Linked DNA regions of Coturnix japonica. The protein of the gene in region 2 purifies or fractionates together with the protein of the main gene of each other region. This does not show direct contact. Links are inferred from orthologs where the notes say so. Each region holds a gene or a part of one and is shown on either strand. Other genes may lie near its edges.

Evidence for each region.
Region 1: the proteins of CNOT10 (region 2) and CAPZB purify together in Homo sapiens (co-immunoprecipitation; 3 studies listed by BioGRID and IntAct, with this or other methods). This does not show direct contact. The link is inferred for Coturnix japonica from reciprocal best matches to the Homo sapiens genes CNOT10 and CAPZB.
Region 3: the proteins of CNOT10 (region 2) and TNKS1BP1 purify together in Homo sapiens (affinity purification with mass spectrometry; 4 studies listed by BioGRID and IntAct, with this or other methods). This does not show direct contact. The link is inferred for Coturnix japonica from reciprocal best matches to the Homo sapiens genes CNOT10 and TNKS1BP1.

The regions. Positions count from the first base shown.
Region 1 is NC_029536.1:4,122,003-4,128,279, reverse strand, and holds the start of CAPZB (F-actin-capping protein subunit beta), read left to right. Parts: upstream 1-2,883; 5' UTR 2,884-3,014; coding exon 3,015-3,017; intron 3,018-6,277. UniProt on the Homo sapiens protein: F-actin-capping proteins bind in a Ca(2+)-independent manner to the fast growing ends of actin filaments (barbed end) thereby blocking the exchange of subunits at these ends.
Region 2 is NC_029517.1:37,322,226-37,327,708, reverse strand, and holds part of CNOT10 (CCR4-NOT transcription complex subunit 10), read right to left. Parts: intron 4,529-5,483; coding exon 4,437-4,528; intron 3,656-4,436; coding exon 3,494-3,655; intron 3,252-3,493; coding exon 3,101-3,251; intron 2,335-3,100; coding exon 2,189-2,334; intron 1,283-2,188; coding exon 1,196-1,282; intron 498-1,195; coding exon 414-497; intron 1-413. UniProt on the Homo sapiens protein: Component of the CCR4-NOT complex which is one of the major cellular mRNA deadenylases and is linked to various cellular processes including bulk mRNA degradation, miRNA-mediated repression, translational repression during translational initiation and general transcription regulation.
Region 3 is NC_029520.1:7,744,815-7,750,977, forward strand, and holds the start of TNKS1BP1 (182 kDa tankyrase-1-binding protein), read right to left. Parts: upstream 4,060-6,163; 5' UTR 3,501-4,059; exon of another isoform or gene 3,456-3,500; intron 3,151-3,455; exon of another isoform or gene 3,045-3,150; intron 2,787-3,044; 5' UTR 2,681-2,786; intron 2,177-2,680; 5' UTR 2,130-2,176; coding exon 2,045-2,129; intron 1,935-2,044; coding exon 1,295-1,934; intron 531-1,294; coding exon 455-530; intron 1-454. Other genes in the region: FACT complex subunit SSRP1, read right to left, coding at 4,557-4,625, 4,820-5,003, 5,181-5,272, 5,547-5,717.

The DNA.
Region 1 (6,277 bases), on a different chromosome or scaffold from region 2:
TTGAAGTGGAACTTTAAGAAATGGAACAAGATGTGTCACAGCTCGTTGTACTAATTCTGCTTCAAGCTGCTTTTGCCATGAAGTTTGGTTCAGGAACCTGAAAGAAAGCACTTTGCATGGAAAGACTGAGCTGAGCTTTTGCTAACTCCCAGATTTTGGCTGTCTCCTTTGCAGGCATCAGCACTGTTACAACACGTCTTCATTTGATGCGTGCTACTTTGTCATCCATTTTTTAGTTGGATTGTTGAAAAACAACTGTTGCACTGTACTGATAGAGACTGTCTAATGATAATAATATAATAATCCTGCAGAAAGTTCTCCTTCTCAGCTCTCTAAGTACTTACTTTTCCTTCTGCCTCCTAGATTCTAACTAGTGAACCATGACTATTGTATTAAGGAGGAATCCAAGCCCTTATAACTCTTTTGGCTGGTATATTAGCACCCTTCCAATGAAGTGCAATGTATCAAGGAAGAAGTTAAGGAACAGAAAGGTTTGTTTCTTTCTGGTGCATTTAATCAGCTTCTCCTTGCTTCTCTTTTAATGACAGGCTGCAGACATTATTACTACAGCTAATGACCGAGATTGACAAGAATGTTCTCTATACTCTTTGCTCAGGCTATAGACAGTTCTGGGAGGTCTTTTCTATTGCACTTTCTACAGGTAAAATTGCAATCACAAGCACAGAAGTAAGCAGCATCCTCAGATACACAATGAAGAAGCTGTATGGGAAACTGCTAATCACAGCCTGAACCTCTGATTAATCAGCTGAGGCAAATAAGGTCAGCTGTGGGAGCACAGGTGAGAGTAATTTAGCTGTGCTCCTGGAAGGGGTGGAGCTCGACTCCACCTCCTCTAGACCTCATTTAAGGGCTGACCACCACTAAGGCAGCATCTCTTGGGGATTGCTGCCTGGTGGAGATTGCTTCAGTATTTCCTATTGAAGGCAACCATGTTGGTGAGTTTTCCTTATAAATAACAGTAAATTCAATTTATGACAACACCTAATAAAAAGTTTACATATCTTTCAAGTGCCTCAAGCTGGACTTGAAAGTAAATGTTCAATCTGACTGAACAAAAAAGAAAAAGAAGCCTAAGATGTCTATTTCTTTAGTGGATAAATGAGTATTCAGTGAGGCATTAAAGCTTTCTGTAGGACCTGGGTTCTAAGCTTGTTCTCATTTACTCTTTGGTCCTGGCTTAATGCTGGAATAAGGAAAATAAACAGTGTTTCACAACACGTGCAAGGAGGATAAAATAAAAAGCATATCATGTTTTAAGGAGTTCTGGCTAAACGTGACAGTGCTAAAAAAGAGTATTTATCCTTTTGTTTCTTTGAATATAATCAAAAGTACAGGGAGAGCATATGTATTTTATAGTCGCTGATGAAAAGATGGAAAGCTTTGTTATTAATTACACGTGAATCTGATGTTGTAGAGCTGTTAAGCCACCAAGTAACATAATTGTTTGCTTCCTTTGCTTACAGGCCCTCGTTCTAAGATGCATAATTCCTGCTGCTGAGCCTTTTGAGTGCACTCCTGGCTGTAGGTGAATGACTCCATGCTGGGAGCTGTGGGACATGCCTGGAGTTCAACTCACAGCACCCAGATCTACTGAATATCTCCCACTCAGAGCCTGAATTAACTTTGTTTTATATCAGCCCCTCCAAGAGCTACAACAGAAGGTAGGATGGCCAGAACTGTAGCTCCACGCAGGGAGCTTTCAACCAGCTGAGATCTCCACGCTGCAAATTGCAGCTTGCCAGGAAGAGCTTGCTCCTACATCTTCATAAACAAACAAAAGCATTCCCTGCTATAAACAAGCAAAGCAAGCAGCTGGTCCTCATTGGAAAAGACGTTACATCCATTTCACAAAGGAATCCGCAGATCTTCTTCTTCATGCAAATATTTTGGGGCAAACAAAAAGCAGCTGTTTCTGTTGCTTTATACCTATTAGCAGGGAAACAAAATCCAGGATGCTTGTATTTCTTGTAAGGAAAACATCCTCTTGGCATCGATGTTCGTTCAGATCTCAAACTGTTTAACACAGGCTGCATGAATCTGCTTTTGCTTTGTGTTCAGCAAGAGGGTAGAAACCTTTTTTGCTCATTAAGACCTAAAAGCAAAACAGCCGTTGAGGAGCTTGCATGGGTTTATAACAAAGGTTGTGAAGTTTAGAATGTATGTTTTATCTGCTCTGTGCTCCCAGCTCATGTTAATGTGCGGAACGCTGTTAAAGAAAGGAATAATGTATTGGAGTGATGAAGGCAGCCTTTAATTACTGCTGGTAGGGACCTCTGGAAGGATTGAGGGCTGGATAATAGAAGGTGCTTGTATTGCTTGAGCTGGCATCTCTTGGAAGGTTCTGCCTGGTATCTGAGAGCTACTAAAACTGAACTAAAACCCATCTGTGATAATGGCTGAGTGGAAAATAAGAGCTTGGCCTTGGATGTCACCCGCCGGGTGGATGTACCACAAAATGTCACCTCCCAGGAAAAAATGAAGCCGTTCCCTTAGAGAACGCATCAGTTCTATTACAAATGCACACAGTAATGCCGTGCTTTCACAGCATTGCATCACAGCAGGAAGCGATACATGACTGCCCTTAACAGCATTTCCAGTTTCTACAGCAAACCAAGGAAAGCAAAGTACAACCACCACCACAGCGGCGCGCCGGCGCGCTCCGGTAGGCTCCGCCCCCTGCACCTGATTGGCTGCACTTCTTCCGGTCTCCCCCCATTGGCTGCTTGGCGCTGCTCCCCCCGCCCCTCCCGCGCTTCTCTCCCGCCCCGTCCGCGCGCAGCGCTCCATACTTGGCGATGGCCGGCGAGCCGCGCTCTGATTGGTTGAGCTGTGAGGTGAGGGCGGGGCCGGCGGGGCGATGACCCGGATGTTCACTCCTAGGCAACGGCGGAAGTGGAAGGGCCGCGGCCTGCCTCGGAACGAGGGAGAGCGGAGCGGAGCGGACCGGGAGGCGCCGCCGTTGCCACCGCCCAGCGCAGCCCCGCCGAGCCGCCATGGTGAGCACCGTGCGGGATCCGCCGCTTCCAGCCCCGCAGCTGGGCCCTATCGCTTCCTTTTCCCTCCCACGGGGCGGCGGTGAGGGAGGCCCCGGCTGCGGCCTGCACCGGGGGGAGGCGGTGGGGGCAGGGCCCGCGGGGGGCGGTGGGGCAGGGCCTGGGGTAACGCAGGGTCTGGCGGCTCGAACGGAGCCGGGACTGGCGGCCGGAGCGCTGCCTCCAGCCCCGCGTCGCACCGCAGCTGTGCGGAACCAGGAACCGGCGGCGTGCGGGGCGGCCGAGCCTGCCCGGGCAGACACCGCTGCGGTGTGTGCGGCTCACACGATGAGGGTTGGAGTGTCTGGCTTCTGCAGCCGTGTAGCGCAGCCTGGCCGCGATGTGCTGGGGGGTGAGTGCACACAGAATGACCCGGGTTGGAAGGGTCCTCAAGGATCATGTAGTTCCAACCCCCCTGCCTGGCAGGGCCACCAAACATACACCTTTACTAGATCAGGTTGCCCAGGGCCCCGTCCAACCTGGTCTTGAACACCTCCAAGGACGGGGCATCCACAACCTCCCTGGGCAGCCTGTTCCAGGGCCTAACCACTCTCCTAGTGAAGAACTTCCCCCTAACATCCAACCTAAATCTTCCCTCTTTTAACTCAAGTTCACCCAAGGGACAAAACCTTCGGTTTCCCTTTGGTGCTGTGCGTGGAGGGGGTGCAGCCCCTGGGGTCTCATCTCCTATGGGCTCACCCAGCACCTAAGGGTGGAGATGTCTTGCTGTGCCCAGCCTGCCTGGCGGGGTGCCCACTGAGCCCCTGTAATACAGCGTACCTGGAGGGCTGTAATTGCTCCAGTGCTTGGTACTGCTCAGGAATTTGTGGTTTGATGTTTTTTAGGACTGTTCAAATATAGTTAGGTTCAAAATGTACCTGGTTACATGTAAAGACTGGTTTAGTAATCAATCCTTTGCTTCAACTGTAAGAATTTCAGAGGCAATATCTTATCCTTTCCTCTGGAGGCTGAAGGTCCTGGTGGTCCCAATGCTTATATGGCACAGGATGAAGATGTTTGATTTCTAGTGGAAGGTGAAGAAAGCTTATGATCAAGATTCTGTGCCTGTTGGAACAAAGCTGTGCTTGGCACCCAAGCGTGGGATTGGCGTGATGGAGCATCTAACTTCACATGTGAATGTTAGACCAAGAGCCCTGGCTGAAGTCTTTGTACACAAGACCTGCTGCAGGATTTATTAGACAGGAGGCCAACCAACTGTCCTAACTTAAAAATCCTCACAGAGAAAGAACTGAAGGAAAACAAGCAGGCTTCATGTAAAACGACAGTGGTGTTACCTGCTGCTTTTAAGGGAATGCAGAAGTATGCTGTAAGAATGATTCAGTTGAGGTGTGTGACTTCGTTACTCCTTAGGGGAGATAGAGCACAAGCCCTTTAGGAGTTTTTTGAGTGCTGTAAGCTTTTGCTGTCTTCTGATTTCTCATGTTTAGTCATGGAAAGCATTGGGTACAGGAGAAACCTGACCAGGATCTCCAGTACTGTGCTAGGCTCAGCTGTTGGGTGGACTTCAGGTAGGAACCTGTGGCAGCTGCCCCGTTATTTGTGTGTTGTGGTGGCTGTGTACACACCCGAAGGTTTGTTCACTGAGTGGGGCAAGTGGAGTGTGGTTTATGCAGGCCTACTGCAAGAAAGGTCACTGGGCTTGGTTACAGGAGACAAATGAGCTGTGGTGATGTGTTAATAAAGCCTTGCTCTTAGAATCAGCATTATGCAGACAATGCAATTCTGGCACCCAGTTTCAACTTTAGTTCCCTTCTGGTTTTTAGAGTATCCCCAGGATCTATTGCTTTTGTAGACAATACTCAAATGTAGCATGAAGGAACTAAAATAGGTCTGGCACTGACAGCTGCTGTTTTATGTGGTTCATACCAAAGCAATGTAAGATTTGTGAAACTAAACACTTTTTCATCTCCCTGAATTCTGAGTCTCTGATTGTGATTGTGTCACTCTTGAAACTCATGGCATCAGCTCAGGGAAAGTTTTCAGTGCCCACAGCACATCCTTTAGTCCTTGTACCATCTAAGAAATCCTCGTTCGTGTTATTTTGTAGAGTCCATGTTTTGTTAGCCACGTATGTGAGCTTAGATAAATGCTGTCTTAAAAGCCAAGTTCTCCAAGTAAATCAAATTGGCGGGTATTGCTGGGATAGGGAATACTGTCATTGCAGTGATGATAAATCTTTGGCTTGAGAATATTTGAACCACAAGATCTTCAGATGGGATTTCCTCATATGGTAAATATATGTGCTGATATCTTATTAGTTAACATCTGGGAATAAACCGGAATGAAAGCACAGTTTAACTCTTTTGAATTACTATTTTTAGTGCTTATTACATTAGTAGCTCAATGATTCTCTTTGGGAAAGATATGTTCTGCATTAATCAGCTGGACTTCTCTGTTGAGTTTCCCATGCAAAGGATGGCTGATGAGCTGCAGGCTGTGCATGGAGCGTTCTCCTGCCTGCCCTTTGGAGGTATGTTTGGTCACATCCAAATGGTTCCTCACTCTAATTCACACTGTAGAGCTGTCACTCAGACACTGTGCATTGTAATTTCTTTCCAATTGATTTATGTAAGGAGCTCTGAAGAGTTTGCAGTGCCCCTCCAAACCTTTGTCTCTCTTCCCCTGGTGCACAGGGTCCAAAGCAATTGCCTCCAATGTGCCCATTTTTCCTGATCCTTTGCCATTTCCAGCAAGGAAGAGGGAAAATTGCACTTAAAACCATGTGTGTGAAGGAGCAATGAATGTCTGGGCTTTATAAACCTTTTCCCACCTCCCTGGTCCATCTAGCTGTGCTGTGATGCAGGGTTTGCTTGCTGGTAGGTTATGTTTGTTTATTTATTACAAAGCTTTTCTAACTTGAACAGGAATTCAAGACTGAATGCTGGTCAAGCAGGTTTTAAAGATGTCTCCCTGCTGTTTGAGCTGAGAGGTTTTATTATGAGGAGAAAATGGAGAATGCTTGAGGAAGCTGCTCTGCTTGTTTCCTAATTATAAAGTTGTAATTTTCCGCAATGGATGCTGTCGGGGTAGTGCCAAATGGAGTGGCAACACAATCCTTCTGGCCGTTTAGATGGAATAAATCTCCTAAGTTCAAGAATCAGAAATAGGATCTGTTTCCTATCTGTGGTTGTCTAAAATAGGCTTTTATTTAGAATTACTTTAATTGCATTAGGTAATACCTGGTGCTTGGTTTCCTAGAATGG
Region 2 (5,483 bases):
AAGACAACACGCAAAACCCCCCCAAATACTGAAAACTCCCAAATTAATCTTTCTCAAGTGGTTTTACTCAGTAATGACATCCAAAAATTTTATTTCCCTGAGCATTAATGGCCAACTAAAACTTACTTTGCCCTGCCCAAATTATAAGCCACCCTTAACCACTCTATTGCACACAGCATTGCATTGCTATTACTTTAAATTGTTAACAACAAAGTGCAACCTTTCGAGCAATTCAAAGTCCTACATCAAATACACTTAGAGAAAAGAGATTACAAACCCAACTGATTGTACACAGCACTATTTCAGACATCCATCCTCAGGAAGACCTTTCCTTGTAAAGTAAGTTACCAAATCCAGTTTTAAGATAGGGAACAGACCTAGATTACAAAAACAATAGCTTTAAGAATACTTACATTTCCAGCTGTATTCATAACAGACTTGATCTCCCTTTTGCATGCTTTTAGTGACTTCATCTGGATATAGGCTCTCACCTTATACTGTTTAAAATTAAATTTGTTATATTAGAAACAGTAACTTGTGCAGGTTTGCAAGATGGACCATACCTAGAGATTTATTATAAGATTTCCTATATACATTGTAAAATAGGTAGTGAAAGTCTGTTTAAAAGGTTCTTCTAAGGAAGAATTTCTATTTAGAATATCAACAACAAATTTATACAATTCCTATCTGCAAGAGGCAAACGTGCATTTTATTCACTGGCAAACATTCAACAGCTTTACATTCAAATACCAAAACATCAGCACATAAAACAACAAATTAATTAAAATAATTTAACCTGTAAATCCCAGACAGTTACCTGTTCAACCAATAAGCAAAAGGTGATAGTGAAGCATATTGTTTCTTCACTCATTTTCCCAAAGAGCAGTACTGGGAAATAAAACCTCACTGATTTAGACTGTCTTGCAGACAAACAAATGTAAGATTATTAGAGCTAAATGCCATTTAACAAAATTATGTTAAGATGTAGGTATTGAAACTGGGATTTTTCTTAGGTCAGTTTCTCCTGTACGTGGATCTTAAAAAAAAGGGTCAGTTAAATTCATTTTTCTGACCTACAAAATGAAATTGAAGATGACAATATCACAATTCATGCTGAGCTAGATTTGAGGCAGGCAGCTCTCAGTTTTAAGGAAGACTGAATGGATATTCTTGTACAAATCACACACACACCCACCTGATGTATTTTAGATTTAGCAGCTTCTATTAAAGCTCCACTTTCAGCTTTTTGATTGGAGGAATCTTTATTTGTATTATTACCTGACTGTCAAAAGAAAACAAAAAACAGAAATAAATAAAAAAGCATTAGGAGCTTATGAAGGAAACCGTAAACTGAACTTAAAAGGTGATTGGTAAAAACAATCTCTTTTAATGATGAAAACTGATATTCAATAATGTTAAAAGAAAAACAAACAAATACAAAAATGTCCATATATTCCACCAAAAACTTGTAACTTAAGCTTTGCAATCAAAACCAAAGAAGGAGGACATCAGCCTATGAGGTACAGAGCTCTATATGAAGGTTAGCATTACGCTAATCTGCTCCAGCATTGAGGAATTCTAAGAATGCTCTTATTCAGAAATATAGTTTGCATGCTCCTGATTCTCTTCTCCATATTTTCTCTGGCAGAACTATTATATACTCAAAAATAAAGTTGTATCTTAAGTGTGACATTTTATCAACAGGAGAAGACAAAAGTGTCCACTTTCCACTTCCAAGCCACTACCCATTCTATAGTAGTTTCCAAAAGGTACATATCAAAGATTGCATTTGAAAGCCCACCTCATACTTCCAGACAATACATTAAAGGAATTTTTGACTTCTCACCCTGTGGCACTAATTTCACTGACATTTCAAACACAGAGTATCACACAGTCGTCATCTGGGACACCAGGAAAACCAAGTATATTTGGCACTGAAGACAACTGACTTTCTAATATAAGTCTCTGACTTGGGACACTTCTTAGCTCTTGGCACAAAAAGGGTGGGAAGGAAAGAACATACAGCTACTGTACACAATTAACTTGGTTATTAAAATGTGGCAGTTGTCTGAAGTTACAGATATCTTAACAGCTTTAAAATTCTGAACTATTTTAAAAGACTACTTTTGGATTTAATAAAAACATACCTTTGGTAAAGACAGCGGCATTCATGCCATTTTAAGCTTACCTCATTTTTTCCATTCTTGCTGTTATTGTTGCCCTGTGAAATCATTTTTTCCAGGACAGCAAGGAGATGCAAGGCCTTCTCAGCCTGGTAAGTCAGCAGGTATAAGTCCACAAGCAGGAAGCACACAGCCTGGGCAAACTTCTCCTCTATATCAAACAAAAGTAGATCAGTATTAGGACTGTAAGATCCTTCCTATCTAAACAATCACAGAACAAAAAAAGCAATAATTAGAAAACCACTTTAACAGCTGCAAAGTGCATCTACACAATGTTATGAGAAAAACCAAATACTAAATAAGAAAAAAAGATAAAAAAGCAGACACCTACATCACACAGACAAGTATGTTAACACAAAGAGGTAATTCTTTCATACCCATGTCATCTGAAAGCAAAGACCAAAGACAGCTTAAAAATCACTTCACATTGATTTTGAGTACTGATCTAAGCACACTGGCACCAAGGATCCAGCGTCTAAAGAGACTGATGGGCCATAAGCCTATACAGAATCTTACAGAACTTAAGGATTCCATACAAACACATCTCTGCATGGCTGGTTTCACAGAGTAAGCTCCACACAGGCATACTGAGAACTGAGGGAGAAACAGCATTATACTTACTGGATTTGTTGAGACCCACACATACAAACACTTCATCCCTGTTGCTTCATAAAATACCTCCTGAAGTTGTCAAATATCTGTTTTAGTTTTGTTATACTCATCTGCTAAGTGTCTCTGAAGCACCTTCCCACCCAAATTCAAATGCTGTCCTTATAAGTAAAGATTACTCATCATTCCTAAGCCTGTCTTTTTTTTATTACTATTATGTACGTTTACAAGTCACTTTTCTGATAAGCAGAGGAAGATCATTTACTCTGCCTCGTTACTGCACAAACAAAACTCTTCTGCCTACACACCGAAAGGCTCTATAAACTGGTACAGCTTCTCTCCAACTGATATAGCTTCAGTATACTGACGCAGATGATACAAAATAACAGCTTGATTGTAGTAAAGCATACTATTTTCAACATCATCTAAACCATCCATTTCTTCAACAGCAGAGTGAACCTGAAAAAAAACCCAAAACACACAGAACTGAATCTTGTTTATCCTTAAGCTTTCCAAACTTATGATGTTAAAGCATCAAATGTTTATTATAGAAAAATAATCCAAAGGTACTAATGAGCCTAAAGATAGGGCAGTAACAGTTACAAGTTAACAAAGGGAAGAGGCAAAACTTGTCTTCCTATTTCACTGGAAGATCCCATCCCCATTAACAATGCTTAAATATCATGCAGTGGTTGCATTACCTGGTTCTTCAGCTGGTTCAGGGTTTGTCTCAAATTGTCTGTTGTGGTCTGGTTACTTTTACAAAACTCTGCAACTGCAGTATTCAAAGTTATTTTGTAGTCATCTTTGTTTATGTCTTGAAGGGTGTTCAGGTGTTGCAAACAGGCATCATAATTTCCCGCCTGGAAACAGCAGGCATCACAAAGGGATTAGTTTAAACTTTGTATCCTCTAATAAGTCAATAATTTTTAATGGCAGCCTCCTCCTCTCTCTGAGTCTAGAGAGCAATGTAGGATTTCCCTGACCAACACAAGTAAACAGCTCCACACCAACTCCATTTGTCATGCAGACTGAAATGTATGAGAAGCAAGTCAAAGCTGAGGTCCTAACTAAAACTGAACAAGAATTCAATGGAGAAAGAACAAATAGAACAGTTAACTATTACAAACATGTTTCTACAAAAACTGTTGTTCTTTTGGCGTCATTATATCAAGCTTCAAGATTCTTTATTTCCTCAGTTTCCACAATCTGTCTCCATCACACGTACACTGAGCAGCTGCCTGTCTAACTCGTGGCCCACCTTTTTATGTTTGTCTCTCACTTCATCTTCAGACTGAGTTCCAGTTTAGCCCCTGGATGTCTGCTTAACACAGGCCGGCAGAAGAGGAAGGTTACACACCTTTCCTAACTTTCCCAAGAGAGCCTTAATTTATGTTGCTGAATGAATTATTCAAGAATATTATGCTCACCTTGAGGTGCCATCCAACCCAAGCCATTCTATGATACGATTCTATGATTCTATGGAAATGTACGCACTGGCTTTGTAATACAAGCATTGATTTTAGTATAATAACTTGCTAATACATTCTCCGCCATGCTAAGAAAACTGGGGAACAAAAAATTCTATCAACCAGTTTAGCAGTTATGTGGTAGAAGAGAAGCTTGGGCTTGGCTGTGTCTTACCAGAAAAGCTTGTAATGCACTGCTCGACAACTCCTTCTCCTGATCAGTGATTCCTGAAGTACCAGCTCCATCGTGCTTCTCAGCACCTTGGTCTGACAAAGGATGATAGAAAAGTTTGTAAACACAACAGAAGTAATTCAGCTCAAAAAACATTGTTTGTGCCCGTTCTCAGGATCCTCCTGCCAGCTTGTAGGGAACAGCATTAAGAAAATGCTGCAACTATAGTTTTGCTATGTTCCCTTCTAGATGAAGACCAGTCCAGCATGTAAGGTTTTATTTGTGATGGTTTGAGCAGTTGTACAGTAATCTAACATGGTTTTAATTGTCTTCAATTTCTTTGCAATAAAATTCAAAACTACTGGAGGGAAAACCAGAACAACCAGTGCCACACCAGACCAGCTTGTATCTAGAAACCTCAACTCACATGTTCACGTAGTGTTTTTGAAACAAAGATTATACACCTGCCATGGCTTCCACTGCTGCAGATAATTAATTCTTCAATTCCACAACAAGGCTTTTGCTTGAGCCCGTATTTTGCCATGTTAATGGGTTTGGTGGGCACTGTATATTCAATGTCTGTCTTTTCCTAGAAAGAAAGGATGTAATGCAAACTCTGCTAACTTTGTTTTCACACCAAACAAATGAGAACATTCCTCTACGATCTCCACTACAAAATACACTCCCCATAAGCACCAACACACCTGAATCATCCACTACTCACTGGCTACAAACACTTGAAGTTTATTTACGAGGATGGACAACAATAATAACCAGGCCTAGGGACATTCCCGATGTAATATCCATGGCAGGATCAAAACACAGTCACCATTCAGTTCCTGGGTTGCATTTGCTGCAGGGAAACACTTTCCACCATCCTACACAATCATACATTTCAGCAAGAATCTATTTGTTGCTTGCTGAGGCTTCCACCCTGCATCATGATGCCCATGAAGTTGAGATGTTAAAACTCAACCATCTTTCACCAGCGAGTCACAAAGCAATGGGCTGCGAAATGGACAAAACTCAGGGTACAGCAATTCTAGTACT
Region 3 (6,163 bases), on a different chromosome or scaffold from region 2:
ACTCCAGCATCACCCAGATAAGGGTGGGCCAAGCCTGACTAGAACTGTTAAGGGTTAATGCTCCACAGCAGTTCTGCCACCTTTGGTGTCTCTGTCATCACTCCAGTGCATGGGGAGGGGGCACGGCAGGGAAGCGGAATGGGCCCGCCTACCACATACCTGCCCGGTCACCAAATCTCAGCTGGTGACTCACAGCTTCTCCCTGTCCCCACCTTGGCACCAGGACTGAAAATCACTTCTTGTTCCAAGAGCCCAGCCCAGCACCTGGGCACCCTGTGAGGGAGCTGCGGCTGCAGTGGAGTCACCTGCCTTCCCCAGAGCAGTTGGCACCCAAAGGAGAAAGGAGAGACACGCACCCCGCAGAGAGGGAGCCCCGGAGGAGACAGGAGAGCCCCGAAGGAGAGAGCCCAGGAGTGGAGTGGCCGCGACGCAGGAGGGTGCGGCGAGAACTCACGTCAGGGGGAGATGGTGGCCTCCAGAGTCCACAGGGGTCCCCGGCACAGCTCGCGCCAGCTGGGGAGGAGATGCTGCTGGAGAAAAACAGGTAGGGGGGTAAATATGGCGTGCAACCCATTTTTCCTCCCACAAGCACACACCTCCCAACCCCAAACCATCCGGCTCTGGCCACAGAAGGATGTGGACGAGGACCACAACCAACCCTTAACTCTCTGTAAGGGGCACTGGAAACATGCCCTGAATTATCAGGGTAGGTTAGGATTGCAAAGGCAATTCAGCTACAACCCCTTTTCTGGAAAGTTTTTCATCCTTTGGAGTGCAAGTTTCTCACACTCTGGTTTAAAATAGCCCCTGCCCTGCTCCCAGAGGTGCCCGGCTTTAGGGAGCACAGCCAAGTGCTGGCTTCCAACCAGCCCCTCCTGCAGCCAGGAGTCCCACAGATCTGAGGCCTCTCTGCTCTAGCATGAACTAGCAGGAAAAAAAATAGAGTGGAGAAAAGGGGGAACATTTCCCAGGGGCAGTAACCCCCCGTTATTCCCTGCTTGGGCAGCGGAGTGCTGTCTGGCAAGGTTCCAGTCCCAGATGGCTGCAAGCGTGGAGGCAGTTCCTCAGCTGGGCCGGCCCATTCTTGTGGTTTTAATAAACCACCAGAGTTGTCGCGGGTGACCAAGCCTTCCCACGAAGGCGGCTCAAGGCACTGTTGGTTAGGAGGAACAACAGCCTTGTACTGGCGACCAGACCTCAGGTCCCTTCCAGCTCCATTTAGTTCCATCTCTAACTGCCCACCGATGCTTTCCCCATGGTTCCCTGTCCCTGGGACCGATCCTCTGCCCCTCACCTCATCTCAACCATCGGGCATCTGTCACCCCCTGTCCCCAGCTCTCCCTCAGCCTGCTGGAGCAGCTGGCGGGCTTCACCAGGGGAGTCTCCATCTGCCTCCCCACTAGGGCGTCTCCGGAAGGCGGTGAAGATCTTGGAGCCAAAGCGAGAAGAAGAATCGGAGCAAAAGGGAGAGATGCGGGCCCGGTCAGGGCTTCCCTCCTTGCTGTCCATTTTGGCCAGAATCTCCTCCACGGTGGTGCCTGGAAATCGCTCCAGCTTGGTTGCCACAGGCACTGGTGTCACCTTAAAGGGAGCTGGACCTTTGCGGGAAGGCGTCGATGGGGCCGGGGGCACCTCATCACTGGGGGTTGAACACGAGTCCTCAGGAGTGAAAACTGGTGGGGATGGGAGCCCCTTCCCGTTGAGGGTCTCAGGTGACTTGATGGTGAAAGAGGGGCGTCTGAGGGCCACCCCAGAGCCACCCCCACTGTACGGCTGGGGGCCTGCCAGGCGGTTTATCTTCTCTGCGGAGGGCAGCTCAGGACGAGAATGCCGTGGTGCTGGTGGGGGGTGAGGCAGGCAGGGTTTGGCAGGCACGGCTGGCTTGGGCAGCACACGGGGCTTGGGCCGGACAGGAGGCTTGGGGCGAGGACTGCCTGTGGGAGAAAGACGAGGAGAAACATGGGGAGTTGGAGAACACAACAACACCTGCAGACATCTCACTCTGGGTTAAAAACACATATAAGCCATTCAGGGAGATTCTCACCTTTCTCAGAGCTGCCAGCCGCCAGTCCGGTCCCCCCGGAGGCACAGGGCAGTGGGGGGTGCAGGGACTGGGGCTGGGAGGCCATGGTGAAGCCGGAGCTAATGCTCAGCAGACTCAGCGTGCAGTCAGCCCCTGCAGAAGAGAGAGGGGAGAAACGTCACGGAAGAACCTTAGTCCACCCTGTCCACTGGGGCCTGCTGCCCCATTCACCCTGGTGCCCCCGGTCCCTGCTGTACCTGCAGCATGTTGCATTGTGCTGCTGGCTTCCCACTCTCTTATACCAGTGCAGCACACCGTGCCAACCCACTATCTCACCGCCAAGCCTCCGTTCGGCCGTACCACCCTTTGTACACTGCCCCAACCCGCCGGCAGCACCCAACCATAGAGCACACCGTGCCAGTCCCTTGCACACCTCAGTAAATATGTGCACCCCAGCCCTGTTCACCTGGGCTGCCTTCTGTGTGCGGTGCCAGCCCCTCGTCCACCCGCACCGACCCCCCATCCTACACCTGGGGCAGCCCCCCCACCCGCTGCCCGTTCCCTCACGGAAGTGCTCCGCACACCACGTCAGCCCATACCGCTCCCACGTCCCGATCCCCAGCCCCGTCGGGCCCTATAGGGTCGCCCCCCCCTCACCTGCCCCTCGGTCGCCTCATGGCCGGGTCTGGGGCTGGAGGGGAGCGGGCCGCGATGCCCAGGCCCGGTTTGGCGTGGCCGCACGGCTCCCCGTGACTCACTGGCGCTGCGGGGACAGGAAAAACTCGCTCGTGCCTCCTCCTCCTCGCGGCCCTGCCCTGCCCTGCCTTCCCCTCGCCTCCTCCCCGCTCCCTCCTTCCCACTCGCGATGCGGGGTCCCCCCTTTCCCCCCCCCTCTCCCCTCGGGCCCCTTCTCTCTTCGGGCTCCCCCCACCCCGGCCAAACGGAACCGGAGGGGGCACATCTGGAAGCCATCGTCCCCCCCCTCCCGCCCCTCCTCCCCCCGCCGAGGCTGTTTCCCAACCCCTTGGCAGCCCCGGGATGCTGACGAGGCCCCGCTCGGTGACGAGGCGAAGGGAAGCGGGGCGGGGGGGGGAGGTGTGGAACGGGGCTGGAAGGGGGAAGGGAGACAGGGGTGCCCCCTCCCCCCTCCCATCCTCCGGGGCCTGCCCGCGTTGTCACGGTAACGCAGCCCCCGCTCGAGTGGCCGGGCGGGCCCGGGAGCGCCGCCATGGAAACGGAGCCCCCCGCTCCATCGGCGAGGAGGGGCCGCACGAAGGGCCGGGCGGCCCGTTGTGTCCTTCGCAGCCCGAGCCTCGGCCCCGCCGGGCACGACGGGCTGAACGGCCTCAAGGACCCCGACCCCATCGCCACCCTCGTGCCCAGATAACCCCACCCAGCTGCCCGCCGCCCCTCCCCCGTTCCGGTACCGTACCCACGCCGCGCTCCCGCCGTGACCCCTCGCCCTGCCCGCGCTCACCCGCCGCCGCCGCCGCCGCTGCATATTCATGAGCGATGGCCTCGCCCCCTCCCCACCCACCGCGCCCCCACTCGGGCCGCGCCCACCCCACGTGGCCGAGCAGAGAGAGCGGAGAACTAGAGCGGCGCCGCGTGGCACCTCCAGCGGCCATAGAGCACGGGCTGTGCGGGGCCTGAGTGTGAGAGGGCGGTAGAGGGGAACCCCGGGGTGCGGCGGCCCCACAAACCGGCTGTGACCTACAGAGGGGGCGGCCAGGCCGAGCCCCGTCTCCCCGAGCCCGTTCCCCTGCAGCCTTTGACTCGCAGCCAGGCCGCCATGCCGGGGTCAAGCAGGAACGCTGATGAAATGACTATCACCACCACCACCCCCAGGCACGGTGCGGCCCTCCAGGGCACAGAGAACATCCGCACGGCATCGGGATCGACCGCCGGCCCTCCATTAGGAGGCTGATGGAGACTAACAGGATTAGGGAGGCCGCAGGAAGGGGCTCCGGCTGCTAATGGATGGGCTGTGAGTGAGCTCAGCCCCTGGCTGCGGTTCAAGGAGGCCGAGGCGATGCCGGGAGAAAGGCGATGTTAGAAGGAAGGCATCCCAGCACCGTGTGCCCCTGGGGAAGAGGAGCCCGGCCCACCCCCACCTCCACACCCACACTGCAGTCCCGCCGCGGGTGTTTTTTATTCAATTCGAGTTGCCATGTGAACTGACCCAACATACAAAAAGGAAAAAAATAAGAGACCGAAACAAACCCGAGTATTTAAAAAAAATAAATTGATGAGAAACAGGGCAGAAGTGGGATCGAGGCTCCTTCCTGGGCCTCCCCTCTGTGGGGCTTCACTCTGTAGCCAGGCACTGAGGGGAAAGGGCTCAAGCAGTGAAGCTGGGCACCCTCCTGTCCCCACTCCGGTGCCTCCCCTCACCTGGCAGCAGAGGTAGGAGGAAGGGCGGCCAGGCAGGTTCGGAGCCAGCCAGAGCCCAAGAGCCAGACCCCTCCTGCGGGCCGGCCCACCCAGTCCTCACGCTGATCTGGGAACCAGCCTGGAGCCAGCGGGGACAGAACTAATCCGAGCCGGATCCGGAATCCTCTGAGCTTTGGGCCGGGCTGGCGCCTCTCTCATCCTCTGAGTCCTGTGGGAAGAAATGGGAAGTCAGGACAGTAGAAGCAGAGCAGCTCATGTTCACCTGCTCCTCTGCCAATAGCAAAGACCAAACTCAGTCCTCTGCTACAAGACTGGATGTACATGCTATCTGGAAGAATATATGCCTGTAGGGATGAGGTAAAATAAGACCCAGCAAATCCCACCACCAAACCGCCCTACTACCTCCTTCTTGCTCTCTGCAGAGGAGCTCTCGTCGCTGGAGACAAATTCCTTGCTCTTGAAGCTCTCACTCATACTCTTGGCAGAACTCTTGGTGGAGGACGAAGACTTGGAGGCAGCACCCTTCTTCTCCCCTTTCCCCTTCATCTGTTTCTCCTGCTTCTTCTTCTTCTTTTTAGACCTCTCCCTGTGTGTGTGTTGGCAGGGTGGAAGAGACAGAAGCATTACCTTGCTGACAGCTCACTGGTCCCATCTCACAATCCCCCAGCCTCAGAGAGGCCCAGCCACCACAGCAGCTGAGGACAGACAGATTCCAGAACAGTGAAGCCCTGCCACATCCCTCTTGTCTGCTCAGCATACTCACATCTTGGAGCTCTCTGACTTATTGCCCACGCTGTACTCTTTCATGGCCTTCTCATAATCCCTCTTGGCATCTTCTGCCTTGCGATCCCATTCCTGCAGCAAAAGCAGGTTAAGTGGCACTTTGTTCCCACACCATCCACCATCATGAGCATCTGCACCACCAGAGTCCAACACGATCTCCACCCATGTCCCTGACCACCTGGAGACCTTACTCACACACCAGCTGAGATGTCAGCTCCCCACTGCCACCCTCCCTTCCTGATCCGTTAATGGAGCAGCAGGATCCCGAGACCAAGCAAGAGCATCCTGACATCCACCTTCCCTTCCTACATACGGCTTAGCAATCCACACTGGAAGAGCAACCCACCTCTTTCTTCTCCTTAGACATGGCTTTCCAGAGCTCCCCAGCCTTCTTGGACAAGTCTGTGATGCTGATACCAGGATGGTCTGACTTGATCTTCTCACGGTTGGCATTCAACCAAAGCATGTAAGCTGACATGGGTCTCTTGGGCGCGTTGGGGTCTTTGCCTTTCTTGCTCTGGAAAGCAGGAAGTGGAAAGAACCAAGACTTGAAATACCCCACACACTAAAGTCTTAATTGGTTACCCCAAGATGATGCCTCCTGCATCCCACCCGTAACTCAGCTACTTAATCAGACAGATGAGTTGTCAGCTCACACACACACAAAGGTGAAAGCACCCACAGAGTAAGTGGAGTGGATGTGAAGGACCTGTGGGGGGCAAGTCCTCCAACAATCAGAGGGTACTGCCAGGCTCAGACACCACAATATACTTTGTAAGTGTTTCAATCTAGACTCATCTGCAAGATGAAGTAAAGCCTGCAGGAAGCAGAAGAGCCAGGCTTGGACAACCCAAACCCAGCAAAGCACAATGAGGTGGTGGGATTGGATCAGACCACAGCAGAAGGCTAACGGGAAGCAGCTCAGCTGATGTGCTGTGACCTGGATCTGGTGTTGCTCCAAAC